7 linked regions of the Mus musculus genome follow. The main gene of each other region encodes a partner of the protein of the gene in region 6 in a complex. Links are inferred from orthologs where the notes say so. Each region holds a gene or a part of one and is shown on either strand. Other genes may lie near its edges. The genes, in order: Prpf3, Sf3b5, Strap, Usp39, Dhx16, Snrpg and Scnm1.

Evidence for each region.
Region 1: Snrpg (region 6) and Prpf3 share a complex: the UniProt entries of both Homo sapiens proteins name them as parts of the U4/U6-U5 tri-snRNP complex. The link is inferred for Mus musculus from reciprocal best matches to the Homo sapiens genes SNRPG and PRPF3.
Region 2: Snrpg (region 6) and Sf3b5 share a complex: the UniProt entries of both Homo sapiens proteins name them as parts of the minor spliceosome. The link is inferred for Mus musculus from reciprocal best matches to the Homo sapiens genes SNRPG and SF3B5.
Region 3: Snrpg (region 6) and Strap share a complex: the UniProt entries of both Homo sapiens proteins name them as parts of the SMN-Sm complex. The link is inferred for Mus musculus from reciprocal best matches to the Homo sapiens genes SNRPG and STRAP.
Region 4: Snrpg (region 6) and Usp39 share a complex: the UniProt entries of both Homo sapiens proteins name them as parts of the U4/U6-U5 tri-snRNP complex. The link is inferred for Mus musculus from reciprocal best matches to the Homo sapiens genes SNRPG and USP39.
Region 5: Snrpg (region 6) and Dhx16 share a complex: the UniProt entries of both Homo sapiens proteins name them as parts of the minor spliceosome. The link is inferred for Mus musculus from reciprocal best matches to the Homo sapiens genes SNRPG and DHX16.
Region 7: Snrpg (region 6) and Scnm1 share a complex: the UniProt entries of both Homo sapiens proteins name them as parts of the minor spliceosome. The link is inferred for Mus musculus from reciprocal best matches to the Homo sapiens genes SNRPG and SCNM1.

Annotation. Positions count from the first base shown.
Region 1 is NC_000069.6:95,831,886-95,835,385, forward strand, and holds part of Prpf3 (U4/U6 small nuclear ribonucleoprotein Prp3), read right to left. Parts: coding exon 3,469-3,500; intron 2,318-3,468; coding exon 2,199-2,317; intron 1,952-2,198; coding exon 1,868-1,951; intron 738-1,867; coding exon 676-737; intron 1-675. UniProt on the Homo sapiens protein: Plays a role in pre-mRNA splicing as component of the U4/U6-U5 tri-snRNP complex that is involved in spliceosome assembly, and as component of the precatalytic spliceosome (spliceosome B complex).
Region 2 is NC_000076.6:13,007,242-13,009,683, forward strand, and holds Sf3b5 (splicing factor 3B subunit 5), read left to right. Parts: upstream 1-1,208; 5' UTR 1,209-1,381; coding exon 1,382-1,642; 3' UTR 1,643-1,942; downstream 1,943-2,442. UniProt on the Homo sapiens protein: Component of the 17S U2 SnRNP complex of the spliceosome, a large ribonucleoprotein complex that removes introns from transcribed pre-mRNAs.
Region 3 is NC_000072.6:137,748,582-137,752,081, reverse strand, and holds the end of Strap (serine-threonine kinase receptor-associated protein), read right to left. Parts: intron 3,396-3,500; coding exon 3,246-3,395; intron 2,719-3,245; coding exon 2,653-2,718; intron 1,532-2,652; coding exon 1,470-1,531; 3' UTR 152-1,469; downstream 1-151. UniProt on the Homo sapiens protein: The SMN complex catalyzes the assembly of small nuclear ribonucleoproteins (snRNPs), the building blocks of the spliceosome, and thereby plays an important role in the splicing of cellular pre-mRNAs.
Region 4 is NC_000072.6:72,342,376-72,346,574, reverse strand, and holds the start of Usp39 (U4/U6.U5 tri-snRNP-associated protein 2), read left to right. Parts: upstream 1-1,399; 5' UTR 1,400-1,425; coding exon 1,426-1,690; intron 1,691-3,606; coding exon 3,607-3,676; intron 3,677-4,199.
Region 5 is NC_000083.6:35,886,278-35,889,777, reverse strand, and holds part of Dhx16 (pre-mRNA-splicing factor ATP-dependent RNA helicase DHX16), read right to left. Parts: intron 2,380-3,500; coding exon 2,239-2,379; intron 1,944-2,238; coding exon 1,781-1,943; intron 1,695-1,780; coding exon 1,576-1,694; exon of another isoform or gene 1,547-1,575; intron 1,424-1,546; coding exon 1,356-1,423; intron 581-1,355; coding exon 418-580; intron 340-417; coding exon 178-339; intron 1-177. UniProt on the Homo sapiens protein: Required for pre-mRNA splicing as a component of the spliceosome. Contributes to pre-mRNA splicing after spliceosome formation and prior to the first transesterification reaction.
Region 6 is NC_000072.6:86,370,327-86,374,339, forward strand, and holds the start of Snrpg (small nuclear ribonucleoprotein G), read left to right. Parts: upstream 1-1,213; 5' UTR 1,214-1,256; coding exon 1,257-1,288; intron 1,289-4,013. UniProt on the Homo sapiens protein: Plays a role in pre-mRNA splicing as a core component of the spliceosomal U1, U2, U4 and U5 small nuclear ribonucleoproteins (snRNPs), the building blocks of the spliceosome.
Region 7 is NC_000069.6:95,131,213-95,135,470, forward strand, and holds the start of Scnm1 (sodium channel modifier 1), read right to left. Parts: upstream 2,801-4,258; 5' UTR 2,684-2,800; coding exon 2,633-2,683; intron 2,417-2,632; coding exon 2,346-2,416; intron 2,077-2,345; coding exon 1,988-2,076; intron 1,900-1,987; coding exon 1,805-1,899; intron 1,702-1,804; coding exon 1,613-1,701; intron 815-1,612; coding exon of another isoform or gene 775-814; exon of another isoform or gene 594-774; intron 1-593. Other genes in the region: Lysmd1 (lysM and putative peptidoglycan-binding domain-containing protein 1), read left to right, coding at 3,605-3,784. UniProt on the Homo sapiens protein: As a component of the minor spliceosome, involved in the splicing of U12-type introns in pre-mRNAs. Plays a role in the regulation of primary cilia length and Hedgehog signaling.

The sequences.
Region 1 (3,500 bases), on a different chromosome or scaffold from region 6:
TACTGCTCTTAGAGAGGACCCCGGTTTGGTTCTAAGCACCCACATAGTGACTCACAACTATCTGTACCAGTTCTGAGAGATCTGACACCCTCTTCTGGCTTCCATGAGGCATGTATGTGATGTAGATATACATATATATGCAAGCAAAGCACTCATACACAAAAATAAATCTTTTAAAATTTAAATAAAGAATGTGTTCATGTGAGTGCAGGCACCTGTCAAAGCCACGAGGTCATGTCCCCTGGACCTGGAGTTACAGGAGGAAAGCCCTGCCAACTGAGTAAGGGAGTTGAATTTGGGCCTGCTCTAATTTACTCTCACTACAACCAACACGCCAGGTAGATCAAATAACAGCCATATTTTATAGATAAGGCAATGAAACCTGACACCGTCTGGCTCAGGTCCTGTTCTGCTGTAAAGCCAAGGATGGAACTCGGACTCTAAAGCATTAGATAAGCACTCATCACTGGCTCCCCGGCAAGCCCGGACTCTTCCGTCTAGTGCGTGCGTTACTGTGCGTCTGAGGCCTGGGCACTACCTTCCTGCTGAGAACGTGTACTCCTACTGCCACTGTTCTCCATATGCTTCCCCACCGGCACACGCTAAAGACCAACTTCTAAAAACCACGCTAAACATCCGGCCAACTGAACTGCAGCGTTTTACAGAGACACTAACCTCCCATACTAGTACACATTTGTTAGTTTTCTTCACAGCTTCTTCATCAGATTCCTCATCATCTGGAAAAGACAAAAAAAGCTCAATATTTGGTTTGTTTTTTGAGTCAGATTCTCGCTACATAGACCAGGCTGGCCTCCAACTTAGCAGGGTCTGCCTCCCAAGTGCTGGATTAAATTTATTTACTGAGACCATCCTCCTGACTCAGCCTACTGAGAGCTGGGATTACAAGCTTCAGCAACCATGCCCCACTAAATATATCTTTTCTTTCTTTACCTGTGCCCCACACCTTGTCTGGCTCTCAGTGTGCAGGATCTTGAACATGGTAGACAAGTGCTAAACTACTAAACTTTAATGCTAGCTCCAAAGTTATCTTTCCTGTTGAGTGTGAAGCCAGCTAGGTCTATATAGTTTCAGACCAGCCAGGGCTACCCTTGTCTCAAAACAAAACCCAAAGTATTCTTTCCTGTTTAAAGTAGAAAGTTGTTGTTGATGTGAAAATCTATTTTTTATACATTCAATGGTCTTTTGAATTGGGTTGGGGTGGGGAAGTCAGAGACTGTATGTAGTCCATATCTGCTTTACATTGGCATGTGTTGGTTTCAAACCCATGATCTTTTTACTTCCACTTTCTGAGTGCTGGGGTCATGGGTGGATACTACTAGTCTGGAGTGATTAGAAAGAAATACCAACTTTTTTTGAGACTCATGTGGCCTAGGCTGCTTTAAAATTGCTCCATAGCTCAAGATGACCTCAAACTCTTAGGAGATTACAGGTGTGAACTACCGTGACGTAGCTAATAAGAAATTTAAGTAAAGAATAATACAGGTTAGATATTGTACACACGAATGCATAGTTTGCTGACTTTAAATACACTCTTGCAACCAGAACTTGAAACTAAGTCAAAGAGAAAAGCCTGCTGGGTGTATGCAGCAGTACTGTTTAAGTCAACCTAGCTGGGCAGGGGGCACACATCTTTAATCTCAGCCCTTAAAAAGTATAGGTAGGTGGATCTTATGAATTCAAGGCCAGCCAGTACCATACAGTGAGACCCTGTCTCACACAAAACAAAACATTCTGTCTAAACTTCTTGAACACAAGACTATTCCAGGAAGAATGGATGAAGAATAGACAGAACTATCACTCCACCTCCCCCAGCTCTCCCATGTAATCCCTTCTAACCCCAATTCACCATCTCCCTTCGTGTTAGATGTCTGCTCATCCCACTTTATCCGATGTAGCATGAGACGCTTAAATTTCTTCTGGGCTTTGGGGCCTGAAAAGAGAATTTTGCGAGTTGGAAAGATGACAGAGTAGGAAGAACCTCTGAGCTGAGCCCATCTACTACTCAGATAGCAATGGGAAGGGGAACGAGCCCCAGGACCAGGACAGACTTCTTCTGCAGACACACAGAATCGGAAACACAACAGCGGTCTCACAGAAATCTTCCTCCCTTCTCCCCACTGCCAATCGCTTTAGGGCTAGGGTTGTCTAGAGAGTTTCCCTCAACTCTCTGCACTCACCCCCTTCCACTACCACCACGTTGACATCTTTGTGCAGCACCACCACCCCTGTCAGGTACAGCTGCCCAGCATTGGCCTCAATCTTGAACTTCTTGGCTGGGTTGCTCAAATTTCGAACTCTGGAGGAGGGAAACTTTAGTCATGTCTTCAGTTTTATCACTAGAAGCTGCCTGAATGGAATGGCAAATACAGAGGATCTAAAATCAAGACCTCTGGAATGCAGTTATATTTTTATTCTCTTGTAAATACAGGGTCTCATCATGTAGTCTGGCTGGCCTGGAACTCACTGCATAGACCAATCTGGCCTTGAACTCGAGAGATTTGACTGCCTCTGCCTCCCTTTGCTGGTCTTATACTTCTTCACAGTAAGTAGTTAGAATCTATGAATGAAGGAGAGGTACTATCATCCAAAAAAGCTTGCAAGCCCAGTGTTCCAGAAGGTAGAAAAAGCTTTAAATCCTGCCACCTCTAGATGCCTATAGTATAGATGCCATGTATTCAAAAAAATTTCTGGAGACATCAAAAACTGTAAATAGTAGTTACCTATAGATAGTATCTTAATAGATCAGAGAATAGGAAGGGGACTCTTTCAGGAAGTGCTCCTCTATTATTATTAGAATTTGTCTTGTTTTCCAGTTTGGGATAGCCAAAAACTTGCTACGTGGTTCAGGTTAGCCATAAACTCAGAACTGTCCTGTTCCTCCTGTGTGCTGGAATTACAGGCATGCATCATCCTATCTGGTCCAAAAATTTTAATCTGAATAAACAGAAGTTTTATTATAATGTGCCACTTCTGATAAAGAACTATTTAGTAGAAATAAGTGTATCTAAAAAGTGGAATGCATATATAAACTTAACCTAGACTAAAATGAAGACATTAATAAAAAAGTAAAAATGTATTTCCTGGGTACAAATATATTCTGAAGTGTGGATGAAAGGCCTATTACTACAGATCCTCAGGATAAAGACAAGGTAATAAAGAAAAAAATTACTGCTTTCTAGAGAAATGAAGTAGTTACCACAAAAGAATAAGGTATACTTGAAGGCCACAGTGATTTTGTCCTAAGGACTGGGAAGATAATGAGAATGTAGGTGCAAGGAGGGCATAATGGGCCGCACCTTTAATCCGAGAACCAGGGAGGCAGAGGCAGTGGATCTCTAGGTTTGAGGCCAGCCTGGTCTACTTAGTGAGTTCCAGGATAGCTGAGACTAGGTAGAGAAACACTGTCTCAAAAAAGAAACAGAGACAGCTGTCAATGTGGACACCTACCTATACACAGATATGTGCACCCCCTGTGAAAT
Region 2 (2,442 bases), on a different chromosome or scaffold from region 6:
GTCTAAGTCTTGGTGTTGGTTGGTTTTATTTTTTTTTGAGACAGAGTTTCTCCTTGTAGCCCTGGCTGTCCTGAAACTAGCTCTGTAGACCAGGCTGCCCCTGAACTCAGAGATCTGCCTGCCTCTGCCTCCCAAGTGGTGGAATTAAAGGTGTGTGCCACCACCACCTGGCATGATGCTTATTATGACAAAATTTAAACAGAAGAATTAATATTGGATGGAGCGGAACTCACCTCTAATCCCAGCATTCAGGAGGCAAAGGCAGGAGGATTGCTGTGAGCTCAGGGCCAGATCCTCCCCCCACCAAGTAAACAAAAGTACCCCCAAACTCCTGTATTTTCAAATTGTCTGTCATTGTCCATTCTCTTTGGCTGTGACTGCTCTTACCCCATTCCTAAAATGGTTTTTTGAGAGTACAATCTACATCAGGCTATACATGTATCCTTAAGGGATACCATAAAAGAAGTACAATTATCTTTTCTGAGTTGTTTGTAACGTGAGAAAGTGCACAACCCCCAACGTAAGGCAGTAATCAGCAGAAAAACACAGGTGACTAGAAAGAGAGGTGTTCTTTCTATCTATCTATCTATCTATCTATCTATCTATCTATCTATCTATCTATCTATCTATCTATCTATCTATCTATCTATCTAGTCTTGAACCACATCTGACTTCAAGGAATAGCTTTTGAGTGACCTAGAGCAAACAACCCCTCAATGGGTTGAGAAACGGGAGCCTGGAGCTCGTTGTGGGAGCCATTAGTGAGACTACTGGGGCTGACACTGATCACCAAAAATACTTTTCCCAGTGCCCAAATTCTAAGAGACAAAGCTGGGACCGCGGGGGAACCATGCTGCCACGTTAGCTTCTAGGTACAAGAGTTAATTTTCCTGGTTGCTTGTAGTTGAAACCCTCTTGGATTTCCCCTTCTTAGTAGCCCAGAGCCGTGGGATAACTCTCAGAGGCCGTTTGCCATCGTCCTACAGCAGCCAGGCAAAAACAAAACAAACAAAACAAAACCCTAAAACAAACTCTTTGGACTACTTGTTCCAGAATGCAACGCTCAGACTAGAACGTGATCACCCGAGAGCCACTAAGCGGACCATCATGCAACACTCTTCGAAGTAGGCGGGCTCCGTGAGGAGACGGCCCAGTGTTTCCTAGGCAACTCCAATCCCGCGACAGACGGCACTTCCGCTTCCGCCTAGGAAAAGACTGTCTACTCCTGCGTCTCGGTGGCGTCTTTCTCCCGCGCCTGCACGAACTGAGGTTTTGCGTGGCGGCGGCGGCACCGGCAGCGGCAGCGTCTCTCACTTGAACGCCGCGAGCGGCAGCTTCTCGTCTGTGTCCTGACCTCGGAGCCTACGAGCAGAGCGGCGCGATGACGGACCGGTACACCATCCACAGCCAGCTGGAGCATCTGCAGTCCAAGTACATCGGCACGGGCCACGCCGACACCACCAAGTGGGAATGGCTGGTGAACCAGCACCGCGACTCCTACTGCTCCTACATGGGCCACTTCGACCTCCTCAACTACTTCGCCATTGCCGAGAACGAGAGCAAAGCCCGCGTGCGGTTCAACCTGATGGAGAAAATGCTGCAGCCCAGCGGGCCGCCCGCGGACAAGCCCGAGGAGAACTGAGGTGAGCGCTGCCCAGTCTTCCCCGTGTGCCGGCTGCGAGCCTCCTTGCTCCTGCATCTCGACCATTCCGTGTTGGCTGTGTCGCCTGACCTGCGTACCTGTGGAGGATTCGGAACAAGTCATGGAGAGACTGTCCGGGTCCGCTCCTTGTGAACTGTGCAGAAGGAGTGATCCCAGCATCGGCAAGCGAGGGAGAAGACTGCACGAGAGTGATGCGCATTTCGAGTCTGCTTTTCGATAGTTGATGTCTTCTTGCCTTTTTAAAAAACCATATATATATAAAGTTTAGGGTTTGCTCTATTCTTTGGTATGGATTGCTGTGTTCTTTGGGAGGTTATTAGGAGAGGGTTCTGTGGATCAAGGTTTTGTGAGAGTATAAATAGGAAATGGGGGCAGAAGCACAGGGCAAGTCCTTAAGTCGTCACACACACTTTTATGATATTATCCCACCTCAATAGTCTTCACGCGTACAGTGTGTCTGGTCCCAAAGAAACCTTGAAGCGCGGAGATTGCCCATATCCCTTTCCTACCCTTCCCTTTATGCGCTACCCCTTACCCCTTTTTCTTGATGATTACCCTTTGTGTCTTCAGAAATGATAAACTGGCAAACAAGTGGTATCACGTCCCCATCCTGCTCAGCGCCCCATTCCCCCCACCCCTCTTCCCTTTTCACCAGAGCATTTTCCAAAGGTTTGAGGGCATACATTATGCCAGCTTGAAGAGTTTACAACTTTAAAAACCATGCTTACAATGCTACTTTACTGAGATGTCATTTGAGAACAGATTTTAAGGAATCAAGA
Region 3 (3,500 bases), about 51 Mb from region 6:
TGCTCAAGTGAGCCTTGTTTCAGCCTCAGGACACTGCGATCTGTTACCAAGCATGCTGGTTCAGGCTACAAACGTGCTGCAGCAATAGGAAAGCAATGGCACAAAATAAGAAATGCCCTTAATTTATCAACTTCAGGAATCCAAGCGACTTCCATTACAAAAGATGCACTCAATTTTATTTAGGGTCAGACTCTCAGTCTAATCTTGATACATGAACAATACTGCTACAGAGCAGAAAACCAAGCATGTTAAACATGGACAGGGGAACACCACTGCCTGAGGCTCATCAATGCCTGTGACGGGCTTCCCTGGCTCTCCCAGGAACCGCCTGTAGTGCCGCCAACTTCTAGTCACAAACTAGTCGAGACTTTTCTGATCAAAGTACTAAAGGCCACTCAGAAGATAAATTACCAGAAAGCAAATTAATACAAGCTGTTCATCTGTATTTCCAAATTACTAACTTAATCTCTTCACATTGTAAAATAAGTAAATAAACTACAAATTTATTATCCAATTTATTAAAGGTTGACTTTTTGAATGACCCAAGTTTAAATATGAGAAAGTTTGGTATATCATAAATACTGAAAATTAATGATTAACCCAGTTTCATTAAATCATGTGGTTATTTGTACAACCGAGCAGATGTTAGACTACGTACAGCAGTTTTTCAGAATATTTTCAGAACTGAGATTTCAACTTGTTTACTTGCTCTTCCTAAGTGTTTTTCTGTTTTAGTAACTAACATGCATGTTTAAAGAGACAAGAGAAGCAATTGTATCCATCCAGAAGGAAATAAATGAACACACAACAAAAGATATGAAAATTTCAAGTTTAAATAATTCAATTTCAAATTTAGGAAATGTTTAGTTCAGACTCTATAACCAAACTGTCTTTGCTCTGGCTGGCTGTGTATGATATAGAAAACTTTGAATAGTTAGTTTTAGTATTCAAATGTATCAGAATTTCCAAAAAAAGAGAAAAATTATTATTTTAGAGGCATTTTATTTAGATAACTAAAAATATGAGCTGTTCTGAAGCAGTCCTTGTACAATGAAAGAGATCAAACCGGTTACTTTATCATGTATTTCCTCCTCTTCATCACTAGGCAAGGACAAAAAGGCATTCTTCTTTAAGGGAAAGTCAGAAAAATAGGCCAATATATTTTTCTTCTTCATAACATAAACAGCTAAAAGAAATTTAGGTGTAAAATGGAGATTGTAAGTTGGCTTTTCATTCCAAACAGCAGGCTATGGCACTATGTGAGCACAATCCTCCTGCCTGCACCTCAGACACTCAGCCATTTTCACTCACGGGCAACACTGAGTAGCTGTTCGTGCACTGGAGCTAACTCATATGCCCCAATATTTTCTGCCCTCTTTGCCTCAGGCAGACAGTAACTCTGAAGGCGGATGCTTGTCTCTGCTTGTTTAGTCCATGAACATATGGTTTCGGCAGCACACGTCTGATGCTCAGGCCTTAACTTCAGGAGTTGATGAATAGATGGAATCTGAATTCTCTGAAGCAATTTCTTCTGCATTTAAAAGATAAAATCATAGTCAATTTAATAAAGAGAAGAAGAAAATCTACATTTCTGTACAAGGAAGAAATGACAAGGTCTTTTCAAATATGCTGAGGTGAGGAGGAGAGAACAGACAGCTACTAAACATGGCCTTATCCCAGGACTCCAAACACCCAAGCAGAGCTCAAGCCATTTCACCAATTGTTTAACCCCACCCCTCTCCCTTCAGGATAAGCTTTCACTGACTCCAACTACCCAATCAGCATTTCATTAAATCACGCTTTTTTGGGTCCTGTAGTAATCAAATACTAGTATAAGGCCATGCAGTTCAAAACCTTAACCATTAAACACTGCTTCCCGGGAGGCAGGCTCTAATAGTATCAAAAGCAGGGGTGATCGCCTCTTCCCATCTTACCGCCAAGCTACAAACAAGCAATGACCAATCTACCAATCTCACCATTATGCAAAGACAAGCCCACCTTCCTTCTGTTCTCGGTGTCTGTCCCATAGCTACTAACCTAGAATCTACTGTCCCTAGTCTAATTCTTTCTCCACACTACACACCAAGGCACTTTCCTAAATGTACATCTAGTCCTCCACTTAGATCAAAGGTTTCGTTCTCCTAGTTTATGAAACGCTTAAGGCTGTAACAGAGCAAACCAGATACTGGCTGGTCTAGCCTCTCTCCTCTCACTTTGCCCTTACTCTTGAGGCTGGACAGTGGCATTCTCCATGCTGGTTCCCTTGCTTCTCTTCTGCTTTCTGCTAAGCCCTCCTGCCCATCACCCACAGCGCATCCTCAGAACCTCAGCAGCCAGCCTGCCATCCTGAGTCTACTCCCACATAAATGTCCGTTGTGCAGGAAGGGCTCTCGACCTCACGTCATGGTTAGAAACTGTCTAGGGAGCTTTTAGACCCTGTCCCTGAGTGTATGCGAGGAGACCCATCAGTCATGTCCACGTGCACGAGGCCTGGACTCCAGAGCTAATGCTTACGCACTCGCGCTTAAGCTTCCTATAACGTATTTCGACTGTGTACATTTATTAAATTTCTTTTGCCATGGACCAAAACGTTCATACACTGAATTTTTACATACCCAGGGCTCTTAGAAAAGTTAATTAATTTTTATTTACCCAGCTCTTCCTCTGCTGTTTCTGGAAATCCGATCTTTGGCTTTGCCAGTTCCCCGCTGTCTTCCTCTGTGAAGAGACAAGCAGTGGTGACTGACCATGAAGGAGGGCAGGTTCCCACCAACACACACAGCACACGTCCTCTTAACAGTCACTGTGATTCTAAAAGACATCTCAAAGTCACCTTTAGTACAACAGCCACTCTGGGATCAATAATAAGTATTTGGGATTTTTGTTTTGTTTGTTGGTTTTTTAAACCAAAAACATGTTTTCAGTGGTAAGGATCAAGTAATACTATAAACAATTAGATGGATAACTTTTAAATTCTTCATACTGCCTTCTACCAAGCTTTATTTCTTTTTGTATGGATGCTCTTGAAACCACCGGGCCATCTCCCTAGCTACTTTGTAATAAATGTTGAATTCAGGTCATTCAATTCATCACATAAAGGACACTGCTCAGTTAGAATCATGACTTCATTCTGCTTATACCATATTACATAATTCAAAATCTAAAGGAGACAAACACAGTGAAACAGAATAAATGATACAAAATGTATGCATTATAATTTGATAACTTTGAAGAGACATCCTTACCAGGAAGCACGCATTTCCACAGGCCATAGGTCTTTCCTACCACAGTTTGCCACAATCTCAATGTCCCATCTTCAGAACCGCTGGCATAGAGTTCCCCATCAGGACTGAATCTCACACAGTGAATGGGACCAAAGTGACCTTTGTAGGATTCTGAAAACAGTGAAGAACAGGGATATCAGACTTAATAAATGTAAAGCTACTGGGGTAGACACTGATGTACTACAAAAGACACTGTCTATTCTGCTGGGAAGATCA
Region 4 (4,199 bases), about 14 Mb from region 6:
GTCTGTATTCTCTACCTGTTCCTTTGAGATAGGGCCTCTCACTTAACCTGTAATTCAGCTGACAGCCACCAAGCCCTAGTGGTCCTCCTGTCTCCATTTCCCACATGGCTAGGACTATAGGCATGAGCCCACTGTCAGCTTTTTCCACGGGTGCTGGAGTTTTGGACTCATGCTTGGACAGTAAGCTTTCTCACCAATTGAGCCAATCTCCTCCGTTTGTTTGCTTATTAGTGGACATACTAAAAACATCTGTCTCTGATAGGCAATGAGGCAGACAAGTGCTCACGTAGGTAAGTTTTCCCCACCCATACCCAGTCCCTATTTCAGCCACATTGGAGCTGCACTGCTGGTGTCCAGACCACTTGCTTAACTGACCATGAGAGGAACCAAGGCTTTTGAGGGTCTAATAGTGCATAGCCTTCTCTTGTTTCTTTCCTTCTGGCATGTAGCCTAGGATAGTCTTGAATTAACTATGTAGCTCAGTTGGCCTTAAACTTTGGGATTTGTTTTGCCTGATCCTGAGAGTATAGCTTTCCAAGTTTTCAGTTTAAAATGTAAACATCAGAAACTTATTAGAGCAGTGACAGAATCAAGTGCATCTGCTTGATGGAATTGTTATATTGAAAGTAAAGGAACAGACTGCCTTACCCTAGACGTGAATGAGACCTGGTCAGAAAGAGGAAACACCGACTCATACTTGAACATAAAATTCTAGGAAATGTAGTCACTATTGTGGTTTGGGTGGGATTCCACGTGGGCACAGGACATTTCTGGGGTGAGACAAGTTTCTTCTCTTGAATCTGTAAGTGTTCATACATCGCAATTTAGCAAATTAGACACATCAAACGTGTACTATCTTGTATATCAATTATACTTCGATGGAACTGTTCAAATAGGCAGGGACTAAGGCATGACTCAGTGGTAAGGCTGAATTTGAAGTTTTATTAGCTAAACAATAAATGCGCCTTAGCAGAGTATTTGCAAACTCATTTCAAGAGCCCTTTAAATATGATACTAATTGAAGTTCCCAGGTACAAGCCTGAATGAAGGAGTTAATTTGGGAATACTGACTCCTTTTCCTGTGTAGGTCATCAGTCCCTGATCAGGGGACATCTCTGGATCGTCGTTTCGAGACACAAATTGTCCTGAAGCTATCTCGGGTGGAGTGCTAGCTTCCTTTTCCCTAAAATGAAAGTAGCCTGTGAAAGGTTCCTATTTAAGCCGTGAAGAGATGTTGGACAAGGACACAATATGTTCGAAACTATCTCGGTTGGGCCAGCAGCGCTTATAACGTTTTATAAGCCTGTATTGTCCCTCACAGCGACTCGTAGCGCGCTGCGTTTCTATGAGGCCATCTCGACTTCTGATTGGCTGCTTGCTGCCCGTGCTCGGCGCCGGCGCGGAAGCTCCTAACTGGTGGTGGCGATGTCTAGCCGGTCCAAGCGGCAGTCCCATGGTTCCACCCGCGGGAAGCGTGAGTCCGAGTCTCGTGGCAGCTCGGGTCGCATCAAGAAGGAGCGAGACCGTGAGAAGGAGCCCGAGGCGGCGAGCTCCCGGGGTAGCCCGGTCCGCGTGAAGCGGGAGGCCGAGCCGGCTGCGCGAGAGGTCCCGGCGCCCGCGCTCCCGGTCGTGCGGGTGAAGCGTGAGCGCGAGGCCGATGAAGACTCGGAGCCCGAGCGGGAGGTGCGAGGTGCGCGGGGCCGGGCCGGGCGCGTCCTCTTCCTTCGCCTGCTTTCTTCTTTCTCCTCCTATATTTTTAAAGACGGGTCTCAGGAACTTGAAGTTGTAACCAGAGATGGCCTTAGACTCTTGCTTCCCCTTCTTGAAGTCTGAGATGCCCAGTTTTTGTCTGCTTTTTACTTTTCCTTTCTTCTGCCTCCCTGACCAGGCTTGAATCCAGCAGGCTGGATTGCCTGTCATAATACATCACAGCATCTCCCTATTCACGTATAGCCTACGTGGGTCAGGTGCTCTACTGACGACTGTACAGATGGACCCTTCTCCGTTCCCCCCCACCCCCCACAAATTCCTAAGAGTCAGAGTCATGTTGTAATTTTTGGAATAAGACCATTAGTTGAGTCCCAGTGCACTCAACTCAAGTATTGACTTTGTACTAGTTGAATAGTTTGGAGACACTAATGCTTCTCCTGGGTTTTGCATGGGGGTTGTTCCATGTTGTCTTGTAAAGGATGCTGATGTAATGACCAGCCTTGGGAGACAGATAGTATTATTCCATAGAGCAATAGGTAGGGAGTAAGGTCACAAGAAGATATAATCTTCTTTAAGGGCAGGGATCTTCTGTAAGGCAACCCACTATGAGCACTGGTTCTTTTTCTATTCTATTATGGGACTTAACTCTAGGATCTGGCAAAGATGTCATATAATAGGGTACTGTTATTGCTGTAGTAGACTCTTTGTTTTAGTCTGTGATCATGTGGCTTCTGTCAGCATCCATGAAGCTGTGTCAAGCTAACACATTAGGGTTAACTTTAGTTAGAGTTAACACATTAGGATTAACTCTCAGAACCAATACAGTTCTTGTACTAATAGTAGATTTAAGGATATTCAGCTTATCTTAGTACTTGTGATATATTTCATGATACTTTTCCTGCCCATTTGATATTTATTTATTTATTTATTTGCTTATTTAGGCAGGCTCTTACTAAGTAGCCCTGGCTGTCTTGGAACTTTGTCGGTAGGCCTCAAACTCAGAGATTTCACCTAGCCTACTCACTCAAGGGCTAGGATTAATGTACACCACCAATGCCTGGCATTTATTTATGTGTATGCATGTACCATGGTGTATGTGTGGAAGTCAGTGGGCAACTTGTGGGAGTCCGTTTTCTCTCCTAGCCTGTGTGTCACAGGGATTGAACTCAGATAGTTGGGTTGCTGGTAAGCACCTTTACTAAGCCATCTCACTTGCCTGGATTCCTTTATGTAATATATAAATTAATCTTTCATTGGTTATATATGTAATAGACCTACTCTTAGTTTGCAACTTATTTCATTAGTGGCCTTTTTTTGAATGTTGTCACTAAAGGAAATGGAAAAGCTCATCTTTTTGAGATGTGTGTGTGTGTGGTCCCTGGCTGTCCTAGAACCTAACCTAACTGATCAAACTCTCCCAATCTTAGTGATCAAATGTTCCCATTTCGGTGATTTTGTTTTGTTTTGTGTTTGCTTGTTTTGTGCCTGTGATTTGAGGAGAGCCTCCAGTCCTCCATTTATGATGCTGGAGCAGATCTTGGCTGTGCTAGTTAAGTGTTCTACCACTGAGCAGATCTTGCCTGTGCTAGTTAAGTGTTCTACCACTGAGCAGATCTTGGCTGTGCTAGTTAAGTGTTCTACCACTGAGCAGATCTTGGCTGTGCTAGTTAAGTGTTCTACCACTGAGCAGATCTTGGCTGTGCTAGTTAAGTGTTCTACCACTGAGCAGATCTTGCCTGTGCTAGTTAAGTGTTCTACCACTGAGCAGATCTTGCCTGTGCTAGTTAAGTGTTCTACCACTGAGCAGATCTTGCCTGTGCTAGTTAAGTGTTCTACCACTGAGTTACTTTCCAGCACAAGTTTCCCATTTAACAGCCTGTATGGATTTCTTCTCAGCAAAGAATGGCCGAGTGGATTCTGAAGACCGGAGGAGTCGTCACTGCCCGTACTTGGATACCATTAATAGGTCAGTAATATAGAAAGGCTGAGGGCAAGACTTGGTGATGTATCTCAGTAGTAGAGCAGTTGCCTGGCATGTCATAAGCCCAAGGTTTAATCACCAATACTATGCAAACAAACAAAATCAGTGGATTTTTAAAAATTTACTTTTATTTTATGTATGTTGGTATTTTGCCTGCATTTATGTCTGTGTGAGAGTGTCAGATCCCCTGGAGCTGCATGGATGTCTGTGGGAGTACCGCATCCCCTGGAACTGGAGTTACGGATAGTTGTGAACTCTCACGTGGGTGCTAGGAATTGAACAACTGGAAGAGCAGCCAGTGCTCTTAACTGCTAAGCCATCTCTCCAGCCCCATCAGAAGATTTTGAGATGCAGAATACAGTAGAAAATTCTCTAAACAGAGCATTGAAGCATTCTAACTCTCCTCCTTTTATGCCTGTCTGCCTAGAAAATTGTGCTTCTCACCATGCTCAGCCATGTTGTCCCTTTATAGTGGCAGAGTGCGCTTTTTGTTTTGTTTTGTTTTTTG
Region 5 (3,500 bases), on a different chromosome or scaffold from region 6:
ACCTTTAAACCCAAAACATGGGAAGCAGAGGCAGGTGGATCTCTGAGTTTAAGGTCAGTTTGGCCTTCAGAGTGAGTTCCAGGACAACCAGGGCTGCACAGACAAACCCTGACTTGAAAAAAAAAAAAGAAGAGCAAATAGGAGAAAAAAGAAAATAACAACATCAAAAACACTGACCTTTCTCACACGAACGTAGTCACCTTGGCAAGAAGTCAAGCCAACTTCCACACGCTCCAAGAGCCCCTCCAGTTGTTCCCGCACATCCCGGGCTCGGCGCATGGATCTGAACTGTACAAAGTTTTCATAGCACCATTGGGAAGAGTAGCCACTCTCAGCCCACTGTGAAGATGAAGTGCCTTAAGTACACAGCAGGACTCAAATCCCCCAGACTTCCCAAATTTCCACTTGCCCAGTGACCTGTGTGTACACATTTAGCAGAACCAGGTGGTCTCCACCAGGGAGGAAGAAGTTGACACGGGCATTGTCGGCATGGACAACCTTATCCTTGGGCCGGTAGAAGATGGAATTGTTGACAGACAGCATAGCAGCCACGGTCAGGATCTCTTCTGAACAGCTATACCTTGAGCGGGGTAGGAAGAGGATAAAGCCAAAGAGAAACCGCAAAAACCAACTGAGAGCAGACACAGATCCTGATCCCAAACACAGCAGGGGAACATCTTCTTCTTTTCTAAGACTTACTGTGTGTGTATAAAAGTTTTGCCTGCGTGTATGTCTATGTGCCACACGCCCAAGGAAGTGAGAACTGGAGTAACAGATGGTTGTGAGCCACCATGTGGCTGTTGGGAATTGAACTTGGATCCACTGCAAGAGCAACTAGTGTTTTTAACCACTGAGCCATCGCCCATCCCGGATGTTGTTTAAAGGCAGTCCCATACAGACCTAAGAATCAAGTTTTAGAAGCTGCAGCCTTCCCAGCACCCATCACACACACAAGGGCTTCTGCTTCCACCCATGCTCCTGGGTTTTACTTTATTAATTGGTTTGTTTTCTGAGGCAGGGTCTTACTATGTAGCCCTGGCTGGCCTAGACCTCAGGGATCTGCCTGCCTCTGCCTCTGTGCCTCTCTCTCTGCCTCTCTGCCTCTGCCATGACTGCTTGTCTCTGGGTTGTAGCTGCACTATCCATTGTGCCCACCAACAATCACTGTAAGGTACAGGACAGTGATTCACATGGGCCTCATAAGGGATGGTAAGACTTCTTAAACAATTTTTATTAAAACCAAACAAACAAAAACAGTAACAGCATGATAAAGAGTCAAGGAGAGAGAGAGGATACTTGAGACTGAGGAAGCATGGCCAGTTTGTGCCAGGAACTGGCTGGGTGGGAGGACTTACTTCTCGGAGGCCAAGATCATTTTAGACAACATGGGATCCACAGGCAGCTCTGCCATCTTTCGACCAGACTAAAAAGAAGAGGGAAAGGTGAGGCCGGTTTCTCTCAGGTTCCTTCCACCAGTACAGGAGGCCTTGGCACACACACCCCCTCCCCCAGGGGTCCCTGGGGCCATCAGATGTCTCCTACATACTGTCCCAGCCTGTGCTGCCGCTGGCTCACCGTGGTGAGTTCTCCAAGGTGGTTGAGGGCGCCAAGGGCATAAAGCTGCTCCAAAGCCAGCAGCAGGGTCTCGTATGGAGGAGGGTCCAGGAAGTCAAAGTGCATCAGGTCATGGATCCCTGGGGAAAGGAATAAAGAATGAGAGAGTGCGGCACAGGTCCCCGGCATTCCAGTGCCCGATCAAGGACTTGGGCAGCCCGATCACCTAAGCTCTTTAGCAGCAGCACAACGTTGCCCAGGCTTGTCCTCTGGATCTCAGGAACTGTGGTCTCCTCTAGCTCATGCTGATAGGCCCAGGCCGTATACAGGCGGAAGCACTTCCCGGCAGCCACTCGACCTGCACGGCCAGCCCGCTGATTGGCTGAAGCCTAGAAAGAAAGGAGAGGCCACACACACACACGCGCACACACACACACACACACACACACACACACACACACGCGCGCACACACACACACACACACACGCACACACACACACACACACACACACACACACACACGCACGCACACACGCACACACACACACACACACGCCTGGTCAGTGTTAACTCAGAAGTATGGTAAGTGATAATCCCCATCCTCAAGCGCTACTTGGGAAGCAAGCTTTCTCCGGGGGCCGGGGGGGGGGGGGGGGGCGGTATGTGTCCCCCTCTGGGCTGACCTTGCTGCAGGGGGTGACCGTGAGTGACTCCATTCCCGTACGAGGGTTGTAGCTCTTCTGCTTGCAGAACCCTGGGTCCAGCACATAGATGATGCCTTCGATGGTGAGGGAAGTTTCTGCAATGTTTGTTGCCACAACCACCTAAGTGAGAGGATAGCGTCACCCGGGGACCCAGCCCACCTGGACAGCCTGAGAAAGCACGATATAGGGAGAGTAGGGCACAGGGAGGCAGTGTCCACGTCAGGAGATGAGGTGACAGGCAGGCAGGGCTGGCAGTCAGCAGGGGCACAATAAAGAAACAACACTGAATTCAGGACTGCATGTCCGCATCTATCTGTCCTCATTCGTCACTTCTGACAGCAGCCTCCTCGCTCCCCTTCCTGCTTCTGTCACATAGCATGCAGAGTGCTCCCTTTAAAACATGTAAACCTATCAATTCACACCCAGGTCCAACCACAGAACTCCGTCTATGCCGTTTAGACCCTGGACTACCTCACCCCTAGCTGCATGTCTGATCACAGCTCACACCCTGTGCTCATCCCAGCCCTCCCTCCAAGTGCTCATCCTTCTGTGAGATGCTCTGCAGGAGCAGTCCTCCCTCCTCCTTCCTCTACTCTACCCTGCCGTTTATGGGGCAGCCTCCCACCACTAGAAAAAGTCTGCTCCTCCTCTCCTCAGACTTCCCGTGCTGCCCGAATCTCTTCAGTGTACTCAATACACACGGAGGCAGCTTTACACGCCCAGCCTCCTCCCATCAGACTGTAAGTCCTACCGTGCACATGATGGATCCTCCCTCGGCCCTCTCCCCGTGCAGCGTGTACTGGGCCTCCCCATGCTGGGTAAGGGCCTGACCACTCAAGCCCCAGCTCCAGACCCTCAATATATAGTTGTTCAGTGAGAGTCTTATCTCTAAAATCTTTTGGTTGCCATTTGCCTGTCTAAAGTCTGAACGCTACAACAGCTCTGTCCTGGCCTTTGGCTGACTCAGCTTTGTCTGCAGCATCCGAAACTCCTAAACTCACTCCTCTCGGACTTCAAACACACCTCAGCTTTCCTCTAGGACTTCCCTAGCCATTTTTCTCAACGGTCCAATATTAAGTATGTCCTGGCATACACTGAACTTAAAGCTTGCATCTCTCAGCTAATATTTATTTCATCTCTCTCCAGCTGGCAGGCCAGGGCCTGGTTGCTCCTCAGCTGTGTCCAAATAGCCAGGCAAACAACTTGGGACAAAGGGTACAGCACATGCCTTGGTTGTGTGT
Region 6 (4,013 bases):
TACATATTATAACTAAATTGTAAAAGGTGCATACTGTAATTTCAGTACTGTAAGGCAAGCTGAGGATTTCCCTCCTGCTTTGAGGTCAGTCTTTGCTAAAGACTATCATTATTCATGTTCGTTTTCTAGTTTCAACTAGCACAGCAAGTGGTGGGGAGAGTGTATAGCTAAGCATTCTTGTGCTATTTTTTTGTTGATGACAAACTAATCATGAGGAGAACCTCAATTGAAGAGCTGCTTCCATCTAACAGGTCTCTGGACATGTCTGTGGGTCATTAATGACTACCATGAGAGAGCCCAGTGCACTGAGGGCAGTGCCACCACCCTGGGAGAGTGCACACCTTTATTCCCAGCCCTCAGGAGGCAGGGGCAAGCTCAATACCTCAGGACTTGTGTGGTACTCCTCAGCTTTTATGTATGGACTGTAGTGTGCTAAGTGGGTTCTGAAGGCAGCGTTAGAATTGCAGAATTGATGAATCAGAAATACCCCAGACACTGGATTCACGTCCTCAAGAGAATCCGCCTAGCCACCTTCCTGCTACTGATGCGGACAAGCTATTCTGTGCTTCAGGAGCCCTCGGCTTCGCCTGGATGTGCTTAGGAAATTAAGGGCAGCGTGGTGCAGATGCCGTTGATTCTAGCACGGGAAGCAACAGTTCAAAGCCAGCGTTGACTACACAGTGAACTCGAAGCCAGCATGAATTACGTCAAAAACAATGAGGAAGGGGCAGGGGAAATGACAAAAATGTAAAGAGAAAAAAAGTGTAGTAAGTGGGAAAAGGAAAGAAAAGAAGTGACACACAGGCTGGAGAGACGCTTCAGCAGTTAAAACCACTGGCTGTTCTCCCAGAGCTCTGGAGTTCAATTCCAGCACCCACATGGTGGCTCACAAGCATCTATAGTAGGATCTGAGGTCCTCCCCTGGCGCGCAGGTGTACATGTAGAGCACTCATACATAAAATATAAATGAAGGGGTCTGTTTTTAAAGTGACCTGCCACTTCAATTTTACACAAAGGAAGCTTAGCCGAACACAGCCTCTCCGTCGTGGCCTGTCACTGGCGACGCAACCGGAAGCGTGGCTCTGGTCCGCAGGTTCAGACATCCCCATCAATATCGCGAGATGAAAGGTAATGTTCTCCGAAGGCGATTGGCTCGCGCGGCGGTGACGTCAGACACCAGCGCCAAGCCTGCCTTGCGCGCGTTTCTGAGCCTGCTCACTCCTTCGCCGTTGTGCCGAGCCCGCAGAGGAGTCGCCATGAGCAAAGCCCACCCTCCCGAGCTGAAGAAGTGAGTAGAGTCGGCCCTATCGAGACTTCTGTCTCGCTCGGGCTGCCGCCGCTGGTCCCGACGGTCGCGGGAGCCGGAAGTGGCGCTAAGGTCCGGTCGGCATGGTTACTGCAGTGCCGGTGCCTCTGTCTTCCCAAAGCTGGGGCTCTCCTAGGCGGGCAGCCAAAGGCAACCTGGTTGGGGACCAGGGCAGCGGTCGAGGTGCATGGTTGTGAGGAACCGGAGACTCGTGGGCTTAAAATGATCGATTGGAGTCGGACGTGATTGGCTGTGATCTATGGGGCCAATATTCAGGAAGCTTAGGCAGGAGAATTACCGCGAGTTCCAGACCAGCCTAGGCTTAAAAAAAAAAAAGACACTGTGTCTCAAAAAGTTTAAGGTGAGGTAGCGTTTTGTGTTTCAATAAATGTGCGCGTTCATTTGCGTTCATCAAGAGAGCTAGGTTTAGTTTTGGGGTTTTTTTTTCCCCTTTTTGGTGCTCAGAGACATGTTTAGTTATATGTTTGTGCACGTGGGTGCAGCTCCTGCGGAGGCCAAAGCGGGCATTGGATCTGCAGAAACAGAACTTGTAGGAGGTTGTGAGCCCTCTGGCGTGGTTAATAATAGCTGGACTCGTGTCCTCTGGACAAGCAATAAGCGCTGGGCCATCTGCAGCCCCAAGAACTAGGTTTCTGATACACTGTCCTTGTATTCAAGTTACATTTAAACGTTGTGTAATATCTTGCTCTGGCAATAAATCCATGGAAGGACATCCATTTTCTACTTGTAAAGAGCTAATTTCTGAAGAATTTTATTCTGTACCCAGTAAAATCAGACAGACCCTTTGGTCTCAGACACTTCTGACTGGCCTGAACCTGTCGCATATGCACATAGTCATTGGGTTGCTCAATACAAGATTAATACTGGGTCTTTTCTGGTGTAGCCAGAAAATAATCTGTCTTGTGTATAGCCTGTTTGCTACTGTAAAGTTCTGTCAAGACCCCAATGCAGGGGAAAGATAACAACATTTGCTGATTTTTGTATTTGAGTGCACATTTTAATCAAAGCCCTCTGTGTGAAACCCCTGCAGTTTTGTTTGAATCTGAATCTGTTAAACCGGGCCTAGAGAGTTGGCTCAGAGGTTGAGAGCACTGACTTCTCTTCCTAGAGGTCCTGAGTTCAATTCCCAGCAACCACATGGTGACTCACAACCATCTGTAATAGGATCTGGTACCCTATTCTGGCTTGCAGGCCTATAGGCAGAACACAACATAATAAAGATGTATTAAGCCATAAGTCTGACATTTTAAAAAGAAGTTATTCTGCACTGTTTGTTTTGATGATGAGCTAATAAATGAGGTCTGGATTTAGCAGGAATTGGCAAAATGGCATTGGTTTTGAACAAAAGCACTGTTCCCTACCTGTAATCTTCAGTGTCCTCTGATTCTTAACAGATATACTTGGGCCTTTCAGAGACTGGAACTAGTGATTGTGTCCATATTTTTATTGGCGTGTTTGGAGCAGAGCCTGTGTGAGCTACTTTGTCACTGAACTTCTCTTCTCTGAGTTGATGCCTTTTTCTCATCCCTACATTTTATCAAATTTGAAATACTTTTAGATCCGCCTCCTTATTTTCTCATAAACACCTCCTTTTACAGCTATTCACTCCTAGTTTAGCATAACTCCATAGTTCTTAATCATTTCTGGTCCCGTGTCTCAGTAGTTTCAAAGTTGAGCTCCTCCCAACTCCTAAAATGTGTTGCCACAGAAAGTCTTAACCACTGATGAATTCTGCTATACTAGTTTATATCACCACAAAGTCAAGTCCAGACTTCCTAACCCAGCTTTGAAGCCCCACCCCATCTGCAGTCCAGCAGCCATATTTTGCATGGTATATGACTAAAAACAATTTTCTGCACATTAGTGTCTCAGTTACTGACCTCTTGCTGTATAGAGGCATCGTGACCAAGACAACTCTTATAATAAAGAAAGCATTTGATGGGGACTTGCGTACAGTTTTAGAGGCCATGATCATCATGGAAGAACAGGCAGGCAGTAGTTGAGAGCGTTACATGCTGAACCGCAGCAGCAGGCAGGGCAGAGAGACACTAGGCTGGCTTTTGAAACCTCAAAGCCCACTCACTCCCAGTGCCACCTCCTCCAACAAGGCCACACCTCCTAATCCTCCCAAACACTTAATCAGCTGCGAACTAAACATGCACATAAGTGACTCCATGGAGGCCATTCTCATTCAACCTCCACACTGAATGTCAGTTCTCCATCTGTATAACATGGTAATAATAGTACCGGAATCGTAAGTGTTAAATATGTTCCTCTGTTGATTTACAAAATAACTCCTAGTAATTTATAAATGTTATTTATAAATCTATTTCCACCTTCAGATTCTTATGGCTTAAATTTATATTTAAATTCTATCATGGTCTATACATTAAAACTCAGTGAAGCAGCCGAGCAGTGGTGGTGCACGCCTTTAGTCCCAGCACTTGGGAGGCAGAGTCAGGTGGATTTCTGAGTTTGAGGCCAGCCTGGTCTACAGAGTGAGTTCCAGGACAGCCAGGGCTATACAGAGAAATCCTGTCTCAAAAAAAAAACCAAAACAAACAAAACAAAACAAAAAACAATTCAATGAAGCTCAGCCTGGTGGCATAGGCATGTAATGTCTGCTACTTGAGAAGCTGAGGCAAAGAACTACAAAACCAGGGTAGCTAAGAAACACTGTCTTAAA
Region 7 (4,258 bases), on a different chromosome or scaffold from region 6:
CTGATCTGGATCTTGGCATGGAGATCTTGAGGCACAGTGGCTGTGAAAAGCTTAGGTCCAGGCAAGGTATAACATGCCTTTAATCCCAGGAGGCAAGGAGAACTCTGATTCAAAGTCAGCCTGGGACAAAGCAAGTCCCAGATCCAGGTGTGGTGTACACGCCTTAATGTAGGCCACACCTTCTGCTGGAGGCCTACATAAGACCACTGGAAGAAGGAAGACTCACTCTTCTTCCACTGCTTGCACTTACTTGCCAAGCACATCTTTAGAACCTATTTATACAAGACCAGCTGAAACAACCAGCCTTGTGGGACTGAGCAACTATTAGATTCTTAGACTTCTCATTCACAGCTGCCCATTGTTGTAACCCAACAACATGACTACAAACTGTAAGTCATTACAATAAATTACCTCAATATAGACAGATATTCCATAAGTTTTGTAACTTTCCATATTCCTTATGCTCTAATACATAGTTCTAAGAGTTTTTTGTTTGTTTGTTTGGTTGGTTGGTTGGTTTGGTTTGGTTTTTCGAGACAGGGTTTCTCTGTGTAGTCCTGGCTGTCCTGGAGCTCACTCTGTAGACCAGGCTGGCCTCAAACTCAGAAGTCTGCTTACCTCTGCCTCCCAAGTGCTGGGATTAAAGGCGTCGCCACCACTGCCCGGCTGGTTCTAAGTTTTTGTCTTAAGATTTTCCAAGGCCAGGCATGGAGTGCTCACCTTTAATCCCAACACTTGAGGGATAGAAGCAGGCAGATCTTTGTGAATATGAGGTCACCTTGGTCTAAATAGCAGGGTTTCAGGACAGCCAGGGCTACAAACAAACAAAAAGTACACCACCGTGCTCTACTAATGTTACAATTCTCTCTTTTTGAATGTATTTATTTATTGCACTTTTTAAAATATAGGAGTGCTCTGTCTGCATGTGTACCTACATGCCAGAAGAGATCCCTTTTGGATGGTTGTGAGCCACCATGTGGTTGCTAAGAATTGAACTCAGGACTTCTGGAAGAGCCCCCTGCGTTCCTAACCACTGAGGCATCTCACCAAGCCCTAATGTTCCTAATAAGTATGATTATTCTACAATTTTCCACTTGCTAAAAAATTTATTTTAAAATCATAAACCACCGGGCAGTGGTGGTGCACGCCTTTAATCCCAGCACTTGGGAGGCAGAGGTAAGCAGATTTCTGAGGCTAGCCTGGTCTACAGAGTGAGTTCCAGGACAGCCAGGGCTACACAGAGAAACCCTGTCTCAAAAAACAAACAAACAAAAAACCCAAAAAACAAAAAACCTGAAAAAATGATGGTTTACGATTTCTTTTATATATATGAGTACACTGTAGCTGTCTTCAGACACCCCAGAAGAGGGCGCCAGATCTCATTATGGATGGTTGTGAACCATCATGTGGTTGCTGGGAATTGAACTCAGGACCTCTGGAAGAGCAGTCAGTGCTCTTAACTGCTGAGCCATCTGTCCAGCCCCTACCATCATTTAAAAAAAATATTTCCACAAGATTATTATTTCTCAGAATACAATCTGGAGAGCAATAACTTTAAAGTCATCTATTTCCTTCTACCCTTTTCCACTCCTGGCTTTCCCATTCCACGGACCTGTGCTTCCTCCGGCAGCAACTGTTATAGTGGGGAGCTCTGTGTAGAGCATTCTGGGTGATGATTCGAGTCTGGGTTAGCAAAGGAGCCTGGTGATGAAGAGACAGAGTTAGAGCTGTTAGGAGCAAACGTTCCCTCAAGCCTGTTGTGTGAAGTATAGCCCTGTCTAAACCACACCTGATGCCCTCTCACCTCAGTTTTGCTTTCTGTCTTCAATTCGTTCTGCTGTCTTGGATTTTGCTCTGTTCCCTTGCCTGTTTGCTTTTTGCCATAGAAAAGCTTCAGACCTGAGAACAAAAGCAAGGAGGAATGAAAAGCACAATGCCTGGTGGCTTGCTCTCCATCTCCCGCCCTCCCCACTTCTCTGATACTTACTGGACAAATGCTTCTTGCCTGCACGGTGGGCTGTCAACATGGCCAGCGTGTCTAGTACTGGTCGATGGGGGCAGATGGCACAAGCAAAGCTAGGGAAACGAGAAGTGAATGATGTGTGTGGTGTGTGGTGTGTATGTTGTGTGTTCGAGAGCCTGCAGTCGGGGTGTTCTTGCTATGGTGAGTAGGTCCTACTTCTGTCAGAGTACTCCACCACCAACTCCCAGGTTTCCCGATCTCCACCCCTTACACTTCACTTCCAGCCAAAGAGTCCTATTATACTCCTGAACTCCTTAGTGACAAAAGTTTGTTGAGCCTTTGATCCCCGAATCCCCAGGCTTGATCCACTCTTCGCTCTCACCGTCCATCCCGCAGCATCAGTGCCTCGTCCTCAGGGATGTAACTAGCCAGCAGGTCCCCAACTCTCCGTTTCTGCAGGGAGCAGGATAGGAGAAATGAGTAAGAGGGACGGATGGAAATGAAATAGTATGGATAAGGAGTCAAATGGCACACGGGGCTATGCAGATCATAGGGTAGTAGGGGTCACCACTCAGTTCTGGTCCCCTAAGCCCTCCCCTAGATGTCGCCAGAGCAACAAAACAAAACAACAGGGCGGCTGAAGGTGATCAGACTCTCACTAAGGCTTACTTTGAGCACATTGAGTTGACTCCAGTCGTCCCCTTCCCTCTTAAAAGACATAGCGACTGTGAGACTACGATAAATTCCCCTACGCCTACTTCGCTGCTCCTTTAGGCCACCGTAGAAAGAGTACACTATCGCCTTCTCTGCTTCCGGTTTCTTTCTTGTTGAATCTGTACTTCCGGGGATGATGTTCCACGCTTGCGTCGCGCGAACCGGAAGACCCGCCTCCAGCGCCCTGAGGGGGCCTGCATTTCCTACAATACTTTGAGACGCTGTGCCTTTTGGGAAATGAAGTCTTTTGGTTATTTATTTTATTTTTTTATTTTTTTGAAGAGCACACTGCTCACCTGGACACAGGACCTCACATCTCGAAGGATCCAGGTGTTCGGAGACTCAAGATCCTGTATGTGGAGCCGGAATTTCAGGGTGGGACCTTCCTGATGTGGAGCGAGGCGTCAGGGATCTCAGTGGACTATATACTACAAACTCTTGCTGTCCTCAGGCTCGTACTCCTCAGCCACAACCTACCTGGGGTGGGCCTTATTTGGAACAGAGAGGATGTGGGAGCACCCGGCATCCCGACTGTTGGATGTGGGGATACACTGAGGGAAGAGTGTTGATGAGGGTGTCTAGGGTTCAAAGGTCAGAGATCAGGCTTGCGAGGAGTTGGGGAGGGGGCGTCGAAAGTCAACCGGGTCAGCGACTGACAGCTCAGGGAAGATACTTATGGGTAAGGAGCTCGTGGAAAGAGAAATGTAACCGGCCTGGCAGACTTCTTAAGAGACGGACAGTAACTCCAGGCACGGCAAGAAGCAGCAAGAGGAGGACGACGAATGTAGTCTCTCGAGAGTCGGGAGACTGTAGAGAGACGAGAGAAGAGAAAACGAATTATCTGAATATCCATTCCTTGGGTTCGGCCGTCACTGTTACTTAGCTGGGCTTCCCTCAGTTGTGACCCTAGGTCTTGACAGTGAGGAGATGGCTTCTCCCTCTAGACAGCCTCCCCTCGGGGGGTCAGGGCTGCTGCATGGGAGCCGTGCTCGTTCTTATGGAAGCCTGGTACAATCATCCTGCTCCCCAGTGAGGGAAAGACGCCTGGAGCATCAATTGGAGCCTGGAGACACCCTGGCTGGATTAGCACTCAAATACGGGGTAACGGTGAGTCTTCCAGAATTGAGATAGTCCCGAGAAAGTGGGTGGCCCGCTAAGATGCCCCCTCTCACATTATTTAAATTCTATTATGGTCTGTTTTTTTTCTTCCTTATTTTGCTTTCACATCTCAGCAGAGCACTGTTGGGACAGATCTGCCCAACTATCCCAGTGGGAGGAGCAACTCCTGTAGATGGTGAGGGAGGTGGGTGAGTGGGGGCGGGGCTTACAGCCATTAACTGGACTTGTGTCCCTATCAACTTAAGACTGATAAACCAGTTTGATCAAGGTCGAATCACTTAAGTGTCAGAGTAAGGTTTCTGTCTGACTCTAAAGCCGGTACTATTAGCCATGCGGGGGTGGGGTAGGGGTGGGGGTGGGGATGTAGAGACTGGTAAGGAAGAGCTGACTTTTACTAGCACTCTGAAGGTGCCCATTTGTAGTTCTTATTTCCACCCCAAGGCTCTGTTTTCTTTGTGCAGA